Linked DNA regions of Mytilus edulis. The protein of the gene in region 1 purifies or fractionates together with the protein of each later gene. This does not show direct contact. Links are inferred from orthologs where the notes say so. Each region holds a gene or a part of one and is shown in the gene's direction. Other genes may lie near its edges.

Region 1 (7,948 bases):
ATAAATAGCGATAAGGTGTATTACCACCCTCTTTTATACACCTTATCGCTATTTGTCCGCCATTACTGGATATCACACAGGTTCCCGTAAAATTTTGACATCATAAAACAAAATATCTGATGCCACAATGGAAAAGTGATTGTAGTTTGACGTCAAAAGTTCAAGAGGCCGGGTCAACCGGGTTTAGCGATAAGGTGTATTGGTACGGAATGACTATAAAAAAGATAACTGTATAATACAAATACTTTTGGAATACCTTTGAATTTGTGTTTCCTGTATAATATTCTGCGACTGAAGAATCATTGTTTTTAGTTGACCATAAAATAATGATGTCGGTTAATCGCTGACCAAAGCCAATGTGGATTTGCTGTGGTTCATTTATATTAGCAGCTGGTTTTGGTTTTACAAAGTTTCCCATGCAAGCAGTAACATAAACAAAAATAAAGTATATAAGCCATGTCTGTTTTGAAGAATGCATTATTCCTTAACTGAAAAATAAGAAGCACATCGAGATTGCTAGCATATTAGATATGTTCATAGTTGAATATTATTTTCTGTTCAGTGTGTTGTGCCGATATGGTACAAATAAGTAAAGTGTATGTGTAATAAACAGAATACCTTTAATATCTGTAAATCTCTGTATATCTGATGAATCAGTAGACAGCAATATAATAATACATGTGGTTAATACAGTAAACGGAAGTAGAAGAGAATCCTCGTGACGTCAGTCGTCCAGAGGTATTGTTAGGCATACTGTAAGATATGGACTGGTTCTTCTATGTATACACAAGCGGCACCACATTCGTCCCCTTCATGTAGAATCAGTCACATATTTAAACTATAAAATAAACCTAAAAAACAAGGTAAAACACTACCGAAAACATAAGTACGTTACCCTCTACATTTGCACCCCAAAGTGCAGGATGCCACTAGAAACATCCTTGAACATTCAAGCAGATTCACAAGTAGCAGAATATAAATACAATCAATTAACGTTTTTACAAATTGCAGTACCGTCCTGGTAAAAACAAATATATTTACAAAGTCCATACAATAAATGTTCCTATATAAATAAACATGCAAACGAGGCCAAAGGCCCCAGATTGCATCTCTGAGTGACTGTTATGTCCCATAGGTACATGTGCCAGGAAAACTCAACCTCACAGCGTGACAGCAGTAATGTCATGCACAAATATATATGTATTCTATCAATATTCAGGGGTGTTTTCATTCCAACTTGGCTAATAACCAGTTTCTTGCTTAAGCCAAATATCACTGTAACAGTTTCATAGCCTATCTCTGCTGGCCTTAATGTATTGTTCATCAGTGTTATTGTCGATGCATTCTTCACAATTATACTTTCATTTGGATATAACGATGTAACCCTTCCTGTCAAAACACGACTTCTAACAACATCAGACGAGGCCGTGGGCCTCTGTTCTGATATGTCATTTGTCATTTCATTTTGGCCATCAGAATTAAGGGTCGAGCGTTGACCTACCCACTCTTCCCGCTGATGTTTAAAGACTCAGCTGATGGATTAGGGCTATGCTTAACACTGCCATTGGATAACGGAGACTGTTGTCTGAGGTATCCTGAATTCTTATAGTTTGGTCCTGGTGATGGTGATCGTTGCTGTGAAGGACTATATGACCTTTGAATTTGTGGGGGTGTAATTGTTCGATATACATTGAACTTTGGGGATCTTCTAGACGCAGATTGATCTGAGGAAAGCATTACATCTGATAATTTAGACACAAGCTCTGTCAAGTTTTGTACTTCATCCTCCAATGGGCTGTGATCGACATGTACTATGTCAGTCAAGTTATTGATACTGCTAGCAAATGAAACTTGTCGATGGGCAAAATTCGGACTTCTTGACCCATATATAGCTTTTTGGTTTGCAATAGACGTTTTCATATGTTTCAATGCCTTGTTGATAGACTCTGGATTTCCTTCTATTACGTGACGGGCAGATTCCTTATCTTTGCAACCTCTGAGAAATGCCTCTGTACCGATTTGATCAATAACCGAGTTGTCACATTTATTGTATCCGTCCATGGCTATAAAATGGACACGTTCGGCAAACTCTTCCAGGGTTTCACTGTCCTGTTGCCTTAAATACTGTAACTGACGTCTTGCTGAAACTGGTTCATCCTTTCGGCTAAAACGTTGCTTAATGGCTTTTCGTAGCGCCTTGTAATCATCACTGATATTAACTTTGCGGGCATATTCTAATGCCACATCTGCTAAACAGTCTAACAGTCTGCAAACCTTCTTCCGATCCTCCCACTGTCTTCGGCCTGCAGTCCTTTCAAATTGATAAACAAATGCTTCCCAATTAAGGGATCCTCTTCCTGTAAAGACTTGCATCTTCGGAAGCTGAGGACTTCTGCTTCTGTCCCTAGCCCCAGAATTGTCATGCCATCTTGAGTACTCCCTATCAAGAGAGGAATCTGAGGAAGAGCTATGGCTTCGTTTCTGTTCCTTTTTAATGCGCGATCTTGACCTTCTTTTATCAATTTGCTTTGGTGACTGGTCTGTAGTCATCACAGGGGTCATGAACGCGAATGGGGGTTGTTGTACTATTGATTCCATATTAGCGTACATTGCTGGTCTATTCAGCACCAAGGAAGCTGCATGTGACTCGCTACTTGCAGCTGGTTTTATATGTAATGGTGTACTACTAACATGTGTACCTTGAGCTACATATGGTGTACCAACATAGGACGATGTTAAAGGAACCATTGCTGGAGTAGTATAATATGTGGGTCTATATTCTGTGTATGCTCCATCTGTGCCTTTGAATGGAGGCTGTGTTAGCATACCTGAGGTCGTCCCGTGCAGAGCAGAGGGCCCTGGCACGTTACCCTTGCTACTAGGTAGTGACAGCGAACCTTGCATGTGATAAGTTTCCTTCTCAGTACCAACACTTTCTAGCATGTCGTTGCCATGAGGCTGTGGAAACAACACTGTGTTGTGTAGTGCCGAGGGCCCTAACACATTACCTTTGGCACTTGAAAGTGGAAGTACACCTGCTTTGGATTCAGGCAGTGTAGTTGTATGGTCAATTGAACTGCTTGTTGAGAAGCCAAAAGCAGGAGGCTTATTTTGCATTAATTGTGTCCTGGCAATATATTGACTGGGTTCAACTTTTTGTTTCACTGGGGTATCCATAGGTGGGAGTTGGACTTCTTTGTTCCTCTTGGTAACCAAATCACTAACCACTGATGTCATCTCTTGAAATGATCCTGTTTGCTCAAAGGCACTCTTAAATTGGACTGTACTCGCCTCCTCCGATGGATCCATTTTGTCCAACTTTCTTGCTAAGGCATTAAACTTTTCAGATGTTAATTCTTCTAAATGCTTAGCGTTGTCATCTATCTTCCGGTCAATTCTATGTTCCGACTGTTGGACTTGCTGGGATATTGCTCCAATATTTTCTGAGCAAGTTTTCATTGCTTCCTTTTGTTCTGCTTTAAAATTCAACAAACCATTGAATATTTGGTTAATGCGTTCCTCGCTTTGTTTAACCCTGCTATCAATCTCAGCAGCTCTTTTTTCGTTTGCCTTTCTCTCTTCCTTAAATTCTTGGTAAAGCTGCTCTAATGGTATGTTGTTTTTGTGTTCAGTTAGAGTGTTGTCAGCTATTTGTTCTTTGCTTAATATCTCTACCTGTGTCAACTCATCAAGGTTTTCCTTCTGACTAAGTTCATTATCATCCCCAATTCCTGCCATTTTGTCCTTTAACTTGTTAATAGAATATCACAATTTATTCTCAAATTACAATAAAATATTTCAAATTGAAATATTCTGCAACTCAAAACAATATGATATGCACTGAGTAATTACTCAAGGCAAATAAATCTCAAAATCACAACTTTTATATGCGATTCAAGACATAAACAATGCAGCTTTTTTATAAAAGCTACTACTTTTACAATTTCAAAAATGCAGGCAACAAAATAGGGCAGAACTGGAACAGAGACTCAGCTGACACACTGTACTTTATTATACGGTGTATAAGATTTTGTTCATAAATATTTATGAGTGTATATACCTTCTTTAATATAAAATATCAGTCTAAATTCAGTGTAAAATAATGTACGAAACTAAGTTACTGAAATCAAGACCGTTTCCGGTTTGCGTCTGCGCAATGTAGTAATGCAGACAAGTGACTTCCGTGAAGAAGGACCTAATGGCTATAACCGGAAGCTCCTAGTATTATCTGATGAAAAATATCAAATATGAAGATTTCATACGTGATAAACTGTAAAAATTTGATGCAATTTAATCTACAATCAATTTGAAGTAAATTTATTGCAATGCTTACGTAATAAATTTACAAAAAAATGAAGCATCTAAAGTTTTCAAATCTGCAAAGGCGCCCTCGTGGAGTCCGCCTCACTTGCTAAAAATAATTCGTTCTTTGTCGTACGACGCCAATGTTGTGCCGATATGGTACAAATAAGTAAAGTGTATGTGTAATAAACAGAATACCTTTAATATCTGTAAATCTCTGTATATCTGATGAATCAGTAGACAGCAATATAATAATACATGTGGTTAATACAGTAAACGGAAGTAGAAGAGAATCCTCGTGACGTCAGTCGTCCAGAGGTATTGTTAGGCATACTGTAAGATATGGACTGGTTCTTCTATGTATACACAAGCGGCACCACAAGTGTTTTCATTTGTTTGTACGTCATTATTTATCCCGGAAGTCAGTGTGGATGCGGTTTTGCGCTGCATTTTCCGATTTTCCGATTGTTGTTTAACGATTGCAACCAACATATAACGGTTGAACAAGTTAAATTAAAAATGAATTGTTCAAGTATGTTCTGTTTGAAAGACATTTTCCCATTCAGAACACTTTTTATTAGAGAATTAACTTATAAAAGATCTTCCGGTTTAAAAATTCCGGATCCATTTTCCCTTGACACCGGTTTCGATTTGCAAACACTGTCACAGTCATAAATAGTTTGCTATTTGCCAGGGCCAGCAGCATAATTGTTAACAATTGTCATGTGATGAGTGACCAAACATTCTATTCATATTTTAAAGATATAGTTACGTCAGACTATATCGGTTCAGTGTTTCAGCAAGTGAAAATCGAAATTTTATCCTGGTTAAAAATTGATGTTGGAGATGTGCAAAGCACCATACTGCTCTTTTTATTAGCCTGGTTATTGGTCAACGTCATCCTTATAAAGATTGCATGGTCATTGTATGGGCAGCACATTTGTGAAAAGTTTTTGAGACAGGGTTAGTAAGTAACAAAAAAAAGAATTTCTGTAGATTCCTAATTTTATTATATCCTCTTTGCCTCAATTTTTCGCACTATTAAGAATGCATTGTGACGTAACAATTTCCATTGAAAAAGCATGCATAGTACAAATTCATATGACGTACGAAAACATATGATCTGTCCATAACATAAATGTACATACATTTTTTATTGAATTTGTTTCATTTAACCATAAAACTAAAAGGGTAGGAATGCCCTTTACAGACATCTGTCATACAGTCATTTTCTGCTACCGTTACTAAGCGTCAAATCGGAGAGGATTATTGTGATTTATAGTTAAAATCAGTATTTTTTTTTATTGTCAAAATGAAAGTACATTTTATTCTCAGGCACTAAAAAGTACCTAAAAGTCATTTGGCAAGATTTTTTACTGTTATTCGTTATGAAGCTACCCTATAACATGTTTCTGCTGGGCACAAGTGCTTGTTTCAATTGATTAATAGTTCATTGTAGACACATGTGATCTCATCTATAACATTTCAACATTATTAGACACATAACCAGTCTATCTTCACCTTCAAACTGCATCCACTAGATTACTTTTTGAAAACCAGTGCTTAGTTCATTTCCACAGTGCTATTTGAAAATTCTGCGGAGAACACTGAGATATGCAATTTTCAATATGTTAACTATAAGCTAACACTTCTGATGAAGGAGGACCTACAAGATAGAAATTTTAGGTCTACAGATCAATGCAAACTTGAGAAAAAATTGAGTATTCAGCATACAACATGTACAATGGAGAAAACATTTTCGCAGTTATTGATCACTCGAATATATATATTTAACATAAAAAAAGATGTTGTACAATGTCGTATGAGTGCCATTGAGACAGCTGTCTATCCATCACACTTAATAGCAAGCTGCAATAGGCACCAAAATGACAAGCATATATCATGTACATTGTATATATAAAACAAGAATACCAACAGTCTAATCTATAAAAAACTAGGAACAAGAAATAAAATGTACCTATGAATCACACCAACATACATGACATATATATGACAACCACTGAACAACAGGCTCCTATTAAGGGTTCTACTTTTTACCCCCAATATACCCAAACAAACAGTTTCCTCACAGTTTAATTGTTTATTCATGTTAACAATGGTTAAGCTGACCAATGTCCTGATTTAGTGAAAGATACATTGTAGAAACATTTGAAATACATGTATATATATATATATATACAAAATTAACTAAATATTGAGCCAATAACATGAAAATTGTATAATATTGAAACTTTTTATTTGAGTATATTGGGGTAATAAGTTATATTGTGATCATAAGCGGCAGACATTAACGGAACAAGTTACAAGGGAAAGAGTGATTTAAAATTAAATATATATATTCATAAAATTTAAAAAATATTTTTGTTAAATTAACATGAACAAAATAAAAGTATCACTATGTGCAATAACATTATTATTTAATCACATTATGTTGAAACTTTATTTTTTTGGGGGGGAGGGGGGTATATTGGGGGTAAAAAGTTATGCCAGGCTAAACATGCAAAAGAAATGGACTACATTTGTAAAAATCAATAAATGTTGGATTATCGTGATTATTGCAAATAATACCGTAATTTCATCATCATTATTTTAAAACAGATTTATTTGGGACTACAGTAAGGCCTGATCTTCACTTAAAAAGGGAATAAAGCCAAACACCAAGATGTCGGCCATAAAGAAGTTTTTTCAGAAGAAGAAGATGGATTTTAAGTTTAAAAAGTATGGTGAGGGACATAAATTAGATGAGCCCGCACAAAGACCCCCACCCACACACAGACCTGTACCACAACCAGGAACCAGTAGTCAACCACCAATTTCTTCCAGGGGAGATGCTGCTGTGTCAGAGGAGAAGAAACGGGCAGCAGCTGCAGCACTGGCAAGAATGGAACAGAAAGAGAAACAATCTAAACAAGGTAATGATTGGTTGGAAATTTACCTGTTAGTTTTATGATTTTAACATTCCTACATTTTGTGATTTTGTTAATATATGAAAAAGAAATAATATGGGGAACTTCAACATGGCAAATAATTTTTTGTACATGTATATGATATCAGAGAAATAAACCATTGTCATGATTATAGTTTAACCCTTTCCTCCATAACGAAGCCTTTCAATGCTTGTGTAGTACCTCAGTTGAAACGTCTTACCTACGAAAAATCTGTATCAAACTGGTGGACGTTTGGTCCCCGAGGGTATCACCAGCCCAGTAGTCAACACTTCGGTGTTGACATGAATAACAATAATGTGGTCATTTTTATCAATTTCCTGTTTACAAAACTTTGAATTTTTCGAAAATCTAAGGATTTTCTTATCCCAGGCATAGATTACCTTAGCCGTATTTGGCACAACTTTTGGGAATTTTGGATCCTCAATGCTCTTCAACTTTGTACTTCTTTGGCTTTATAAATTTTTTGATATGAGTGTCACTGATGAGTCGTATGTAGACGAAATGCGTGTCTGGTGTACTAAATTATAATCCTGGTACCTTTGATAACTATTTACACCACTGGGTCGATGCCACTGCTGGTGGTCGTTTCGTTCCCGAGGGTATCACCAGCCCAGTAGTCAACACTTCAGTGTTGACATGAATATCAATAATGTGGTCATTTTTATCAATTTCCTGTT
Region 2 (8,008 bases), on another chromosome or scaffold:
TCAGTTATTTCCCCTTCCTTCTCTTCATCAGATTCCTCAATATTGAGTCCAAGCTTTTTCTTCAAAGATTTCTCTTTTGCTTTCAAGGTCATCAATTGGTTTGACTGAAACAAAACGAATTTGATTTTTTTCTAAAGAGTTAAGAATGCACAATTGTTCTAATTCTATACCTCAGTCAACCAAATTCTAGCATTTAATAAGATAGAAAATTATTTAAATTTTCTGCATCACAAAGAATATAAAATATAGCAAACACAAAAGGAATGTAGTTTAATTGTTTCAATTGTGAAAAGTTCATTTACACTTTTACAATAACATGAAACCAGATGCTTCGCAGGGCGTAGCTTTATACGACCGCAGAGGTTGAACCCTGAACGGTTAGGGCAAGTATGGACACAACATTCAAGCTGGATTCAGCTCTAAATTTGGATTGTGATTAAATAGTTGACACAGCATAGGTTTCTGACACAGAATGAATGTGTTCTAATGAACTTAAAATTTTTGTTTCTCTTAGAGCAATTCACTATGCTGTTGAATATTAATCCTCTCAAAAAAATGTTTGAAGAAATTTTCATTTTTATTTATGAAATTTCAAATGAGAAAAATTGAACCCATTTTTTTTAATCACATCCCCCTTTCCCTTATTCCAAAACTAATCTCAATTAAAATTTCTAATGGAGTTTGCAACAATAACTACTCATTTAAATACATCATAAAATATTAAGATGTAAAAAAACTGCTTGTTATCACTGAATGGTAAAGATTATTTTAATTTATCAGTTGGTAGTAAAAAGTGAATATACATTGTATATTGTATATAACAAAGATTTAAGTTGATTCTGGACAAAGAAAGATAACTCCAATTAAAAAAAAATCTTGCTATTGCACAATATTTTGCAATTAGATATTTCTTGCTTACTATTCTGGACAAAGAAAGATAACTCTAATTAAAAAAAAAATTTGCTATTTCACAATATTTGTGCAATTAGATATTTCTTGCCATTGCGCAATACTGTGCAATTGAAAAGACTTGCTATTGCACAATACTTAATATAATAATTTTAGATCCTGATTTGGACCAACTTGAAAACTGGGCCCATAATAAAAAATCTAAGTACATTTTTGGATTCAGCATATCAAAGAACTTCAAGATTTCAATTTTTGTTAAAATCAGACTAAGTTTAATTTTGGACCCTTTGGACTTTAGTGTAGACCAATTTGAAAACAGGACCAAAAATGAAGAATCTACATACACAGTTAGATTTGGTATATCAAAGAACCCCATTTATTCAATTTTTGATGAAATCAAACAAAGTTTAATTTTGGACCCCGATTTGGACCAACTTGAAAACTGGGCCAATAATCAAGAATCTAAGTACATTTTTAGATTCAGCATATCAAAGAACCTAACTGATTCATTTTTTGTCAAAATCAAACTAAGTTTAATTTTGGACCCTTTGGACCTTAATGTAGACCAATTTGAAAACGGGACCAAAAGTTAAGAATCTACATACACAGTCATGACAGTTAGATTCAGCATATCAAAGAACCCCAATTATTCAATTTTGATGAAATCAAACAAAAGTTTAATTTTGGACCCTTTGGGCCCCTTATTATGTTGGGACCAAAACTCCCAAAATCAAACCCAACCTTTCTTTTATGGTCATAAACCTTGTGTTTAAATTTCATAGATTTCTATTTACTTATACTAACGTTATGGTGCAAAAACCAAGAAAAATGCTTATTTGGGTCCCTTTTTGGCCCCTAATTCCTAAACTGTTGGGACCTAAACTCCCAAAATCAATACCAACCTTCCTTTTGTAGTCATTAACATTGTGTTTAAATTTCATTGATTTCTATTTACTTAAACTAATGTTATTGTGCGAAAACCAAGAATAATGCTTATTTGGGCCCTTTTTTGGCCCCTAATTCCTAAACTGTTGAGACCAAAACTCCCAAAATCAATCCCAACCGTTCTTTTGTGGTCATAAACCTTGTGTCAAAATTTCATAGATTTCTATTAACTTAAACTAAAGTTATAGTGCGAAAACCAAGAAAATGCTTATTTGGGCCCTTTTTGGCCCCTAATTCCTAAAATGTTGGGACCAAAACTCCCAAAATCAATACAAACCTTCCTTTTGTGGTCATAAACCTTGTGTTAAAATTTCATAGGTTTCCATTCACTTTTACTAAAGTTAGAGTGCGAAAACTAAAAGTATTCGGACGCCGGACGACGACGACGACGACGACGACGACGACGACGACGACGACGCCGACATGATATTTTTTCAAAATTTGCGGTCGTATAAAAATGGTATACTCAGTTTTAATAGGGGAAGTCAAATATTAGAGGTTGGTGTGTTTTATATTTTAAAAAAGAATTGTAAGTTATTCCTGTTATCGTGAAAGATTTGGAAATTGGAACTAGAAAAAAGTATTTCAGTAACAGTCTACCTTATTTTCCTTCTGTTTCTTTACAGTTAACAATCTTTTCTGTACAAAAGCAGATGTGATGCCAGTATTCAGGGAAGATAAAACTGTGGTCACCTGCTTCAACTCTTTTTCAACATTCCTGAAATAATAATTGACACAATTGTATACATAAATATCATATTTTCAAAATTTCAGGTACTGCTAATATTATTTCAATATTCTGTACATCCATTATAATGAATATGTATTATCACAGATGCATTACCTTTATAAATATATAATTATTACAGTTTGTGTGCATAAAATCTGTCTTATTCAACAAAGTGTTGTGCAAATTTTTCTGTTTAAAAAAATGTTTAGAACCATATGGAAATTTCATTCACTGATTCAGATTAACTTCTTGTTACCCATTTTGTTTGTCTTGCTAACTTACTTTATGTCAAATTCAACAGCCCTAAGATCTTTCTCTAAAACTTTTTTGTTCCTGTCTTCCTCTTCCTTTGCTAACACCTCTCCTACTTGTGCCATAACACCTGAAGTAAAAAATATAATTCACAGAAACATCTACATTTATATTTACTTACATTTTCATATACCGGTATTTCAATTTTCAAAGATTTCCCAAAATCCTTTTGTCAATCTGATGAATTATAAACAAGAACCAAACATATCTCTATGAGTTCCATATAAGAAAAAAAAATATCCATTCTTGATGCCAAAAAATAAAGCAATAATTTGATTTTACATGCAAATACCTTCTTCAAAATCCTCTTGGTTAAATACATCTAGTCCTAAGTTTTTAAGTTCATCAAAAGCTTGGTCATCTAACTGTGCAACAGGTATTAAATCTCTGTTGACATGGAAGCTTTTAGCTTTCTCTTTCTCTATTGGATCTTGATGCTGATCTGTCTCCATGGCTGATGGCTCATCTAAATCTCCAGAAATAATTTTCTTATCCATATTGGATATCTGTATATTATATAAAATCTGTAAAATAAAAAAGAATGAACTGAATAAACATTTTATCTGATACAAAAGATGCTATGATAACTAAAACTCCTGATAGTTTAAGTGTTTTGAATTTTAGGATAATTTAGGTTAAGTTGAACAAAAGTGTCTTTTATTTTGCAAAATTTCATCTTTTAAATATTCGAAGAGTTCTACTATGTGTGAACTTTTTTAAACTGTTATTGCTTTTTAATAAGTATGAACCTTTTACACCTTAAAATTGTATATGTTATTTGAATTTCCAATTTTGCTTTTGGATGCAAAACGAATGTTAGTACTTGATTTCTTAGTCCCATTTTGTTTATTTTAGTGCCATTTTTTTTTTGCTATAAATTGTCAAACTATAATGAAGCGGTACCCTGAAACCAGTCAGCAGCGGCAGCTCATCATGAGTAACAGAACTATAAAATGATTAATATATGGCACTGAAAGTAGTTACCTTGATTTTTAAATTGACAGGCTAGTTCTTTTATTTTCTGTATTTGTTTTAGTAGATTTATTTAATATAGAAGAGAAAAGTATCTTTTGTTTTTTACATTATTTGCTAGTTAAAATATTTAGACGTAGAAGATTTTTTTGAAGTCATGATCAGTGCACACACATTTCAGGTTACATAGAGGGTGGTAAAGGGTTAATTTTTCATGCAATGCTTTCAGCCTTTTCACTTCACATGTTTTCCTGTTTGACGTTTTATTTCTTGTTTTTTCATGTTTTTCTTAATTTATTTTCTGTGTTTTGTGTCAGCATGGTTAGTATTCTTAATTTCTCGTGCTTATCCCGCAATTGATTAAAAAGTAAACCCCTGACTAATTGAAATTCAGCCTGGACATTGTTTTGAATAAACTAATTAGCTGGGTCCCAAGATATTTATTGCTCTCTTTATTAATAGCCTATTGTTTTACTTAGAATAATATCTTTTCAAATCGGACGCTAAGTCTCAGAGGTAACCACAGGGTCTTCATGTCCATTAACTATGAATGTTTGATCTCCAAGAACAGCCAAGTAATACCTTTTGGTACTTTTTTCGTTTTTCTCCAATATTTTTCCGTGGAACGTTTTTGTGATTTTTATTTCACATGTTTCGGCACCTTTACATCCCTCTACATAAGTTCTGTGTAGCTTTTATTTGACACACCTAATTACAATTTAAACACATAGGCCTATATTTTCTGATAAGTTTAACAGTAAAATGTATCTAAAACATAACAACAAAAGATAAACTGCAACTGGTTAAAATTATTAAACTGAATGAAAACATTTTATTACAAAGACCGATCTTTAATCTCTTAATTACCAATTATTTGATCTCAAAGTAATCAATTTACTCAGAGATTTTATAAACAGACTTATCCCATCACTAACATCAGCACATTTTGAAAAACATTACACAACTTCATCTCCATGTCCTAAGGGGCATGATTTTATATTTTATTACACTCTGAAATAATGCTATTCTAATAATATTCGATGTCTCAAAAATAAATGAAACTTTTTAGATGCAATGAAGTTGTACTTAAAGAGTTGATAAATTTTGAAATAGATAATTAAATTGATTTATTTACAAGGATAGAAGCACCGGAAGTTCATTTTGTAAACAACAACAATGGCGACTGTACAGGTTCTATGTCCAAACGGAAGACGACAAAATGTGAAAATTACACCAAATACTAAGTTGCTACAGGTATGAGGACCATATAGAATTCAAAAACTGATTATGTTCATAGTAAATTAGTGGTCTTTTTCAAATGTCAGTCTTTCCAACGCACACATTTAGTCATTTACAAATTGCAAGTCATGCACATTTTTTTCGGACACCGCACCGGTAAAAGTAAAAAAGTAAAACAAAATTACCGAACTGCATGGTTTCCTAAAAAAGAGAAAGTATATTAAAACCAAATCAATCGTTGTCAACCAGAAACGAGTGAAAATACAACTCTCATATTTCTAAGTTGGTACAATCATAATTTTCCTAAAGCTATGACACATCTATTCAGCGCCACCATATGCAATTTGGTCAAATAGTAGGTAATCTGTGATCGTCCTTCGACAGTTGAATGATATTTTGAACATTGTGGTGCTGTTGTGTGTTGTGGGACAAAAATTGGACATGAACCTTTTTTGATCTACGATTTTTTGTTGTGTCAACTGTCTTGTGGCTGTCTTGAGAGTGTCTTACCAAAGTCTTACCACTGTTGTGCGATAAACACATTGTCCTGGGTACCAATATAAACCATTTTATTAAAACAATTGTAAGACTGTCGCAAAACTGTCGTACAGCAATCTCACGACTGTTGCAAGCCGGTCTCACTAATTAGCGACAAGAAGAATTATTTTAGTGACAAGAAGCGACAAGAAACTATTTTAAGCGACAAGAAAATATTTTTTTTTTTATTAAAATTACTTATTCCGAATAAATATTAAAAGAATATGCAAAAGAAAACAATTTTAGCGACAAGAAATTTAATATTGATAAAAAAAAAATTAAAACATTTATTTACATGATATTTTATCATTTATTATGTTTAACAGCAAGTATTACGTTTACCCTGTCGTATTAGGATATTACTTTTACCAGAGCCATGTATACACATATGTCTCAGCTTTTACTTGTGTTTTAAAACAATAATATATATTTATCTTATAATTTTTTTTTAAAACTCTCTTTGTACAATATATATAATAAACTTTCAGAAAATACAGACACAAATTGTGAAATACAAATAACTGAAATCAAACAAGAGGAAAAGAAAATTAAAATGTGAATATTTTTCATCATTTTATTTTGTTTATTGCCTCATTACACGATATTTATCATGTTTATGTATATTGATTGAAGATTAAAGGAAATTAATGACAATCTTGAGTTTTCAATAGGTGTTCACTATTTACAATGATTGTATATTCTGACGCGTGTACAAAGTTGAAGGTGTTAATTGGATGTTATTGTGGCAATAAAACAAGGAACACGTGCCTCGATTTCTTCATCTATTAATAAAAAAATATCAATTTATTTCTGCTTGTATATTTAAAAAAAAAATGCATATTTCTTTATATTTAATAATAAAAATGTTTTCTTGTTGCTAAATAGTCTTCTTGTCGCTTCTTGTCGCTAAAATTATTCTTCTTGACGCTTCTTGTCACTAATTAGTGAGACCCTTGCAAGCCAACCGTGATACAGTCGCTGTCACACAATTGTCTCACGAATACCAAATTTTGTATGATGCTCACAAAACATTGATTGTCTGTCTTAAGACAGTAGTAAGTTCGTCTTGCAACATATTTTTATTTTTATTTAGAAGAATACAACTTGGCGGGAATAAATGTTTGGAAAAAATATACCGTCTGCCATATAAAGAGGATGGCTATTCCACCAGAACGATAATGCTTGGCCCTGCTGAATAGGCCCCTTGCCGGACTCCAACAAGAGCAAAATATGGTCCTGTTATTGTTGATTTAAGCCTGTTAACAGTGTAGAAAACACCGAATGCATCATCAAGGGTCGACTGTGAGGCTGCTGCACCCCTCTTGAGTCTGGACTGAAGCTGACCAATGGTCCATGACCCTGCGCTATATGGCCACAGGGAACAGTTACAGCAGCCTAATATTCTCCTTTCGTGTCCCCACAACACCATCTCAGGGTTCATTCCGAAGGTTGCGCAGGCTATCATTGATGAATATCTTGGCGAGACGATGCAGACCCCAAGCACACCATGGATGGTGTCAAGTGGCAGACAGATTTTGAGCTCGCAGGAATTATCCCCATGGCAAACATGTGGCTATCAAGGCATCAAAGAACATCAGAACCAAGCACTACATTTACAAGGGTTACTTTTCTATAGTCCTGCTTTGAGTGGTCGACAGTAGCTACAAGTTTCTGTGAGCAGACGTTGGGGCAGAGGGATCTGCATTGGATGCAGGCATTTTCAACAATGGCCCACTAAGAGGTGACCTTGAAGAAAAACGACTGGGCTTCCCTGAACCTCTTCCTGGTGATGCCATATGTTTCCATATCCAAGTAGCCCTGTACTTCATGACATGAGGGTCATTGACGCTCTTCTGAAACTCTCTCTTTATATGTCGTAGGAGGTCTACATGCTTTTGTACCTCTTGCCTATCCTGATCCCTGTAACAAAAGGAAAACATATCAAAACGCATTTCACACACTGGAATAACATTTGAATTTTATACGACCGCAAATATTAAAAAAAATTTAGTCGTTTATTGGTATCACGTCTTCGCCGTCGTCGTTAGCGTTTTTCGAAGACGGATTGTTTCCGGATAATAACTTTTGATTAAGTTACCGAAATCAATAAAATTTTAACACAATGTTTATAACCACAAAAGGAAGCTTGGGATTGATTTTGGGGGTTATGGTCCTTAATAGTTTAGGAATTAGGGGCCAAAAAGGGGGCCCAAAATAATCATTTTTGTAGTGGATGAATCTCTCTGAAATTATACCACAAGTTTCTATACCATGAAGGGATGGTTTGGTATTGACTTTTGGGGGTTATGGCTCAAAATGTTTCGGAATTAGGGGCAAAAAAGGGGAAAAACTAGGTATTTCTGG

What was found. The genes of interacting proteins can lie anywhere in the genome.
Region 2: the proteins of UBX domain-containing protein 6-like (region 1) and tether containing UBX domain for GLUT4-like purify together in Homo sapiens (affinity purification with mass spectrometry; 4 studies listed by BioGRID and IntAct, counting the BioPlex papers as one, with this or other methods). This does not show direct contact. The link is inferred for Mytilus edulis from reciprocal best matches to the Homo sapiens genes UBXN6 and ASPSCR1.

The regions. Positions count from the first base shown.
Region 1 is NC_092344.1:104,270,775-104,278,722, reverse strand, and holds the start of UBX domain-containing protein 6-like, read left to right. Parts: upstream 1-4,927; 5' UTR 4,928-5,269; intron 5,270-6,921; 5' UTR 6,922-6,985; coding exon 6,986-7,235; intron 7,236-7,948. Other genes in the region: acid phosphatase type 7-like, read right to left, coding at 257-478. UniProt on the Homo sapiens protein: May negatively regulate the ATPase activity of VCP, an ATP-driven segregase that associates with different cofactors to control a wide variety of cellular processes.
Region 2 is NC_092352.1:39,218,007-39,226,014, forward strand, and holds the start of tether containing UBX domain for GLUT4-like, read left to right. Parts: upstream 1-4,989; 5' UTR 4,990-5,044; coding exon 5,045-5,122; intron 5,123-8,008. Other genes in the region: DNA excision repair protein ERCC-6-like, read right to left, coding at 1-104, 2,455-2,572, 2,867-2,966, 3,189-3,393. UniProt on the Homo sapiens protein: Tethering protein that sequesters GLUT4-containing vesicles in the cytoplasm in the absence of insulin. Modulates the amount of GLUT4 that is available at the cell surface. Enhances VCP methylation catalyzed by VCPKMT.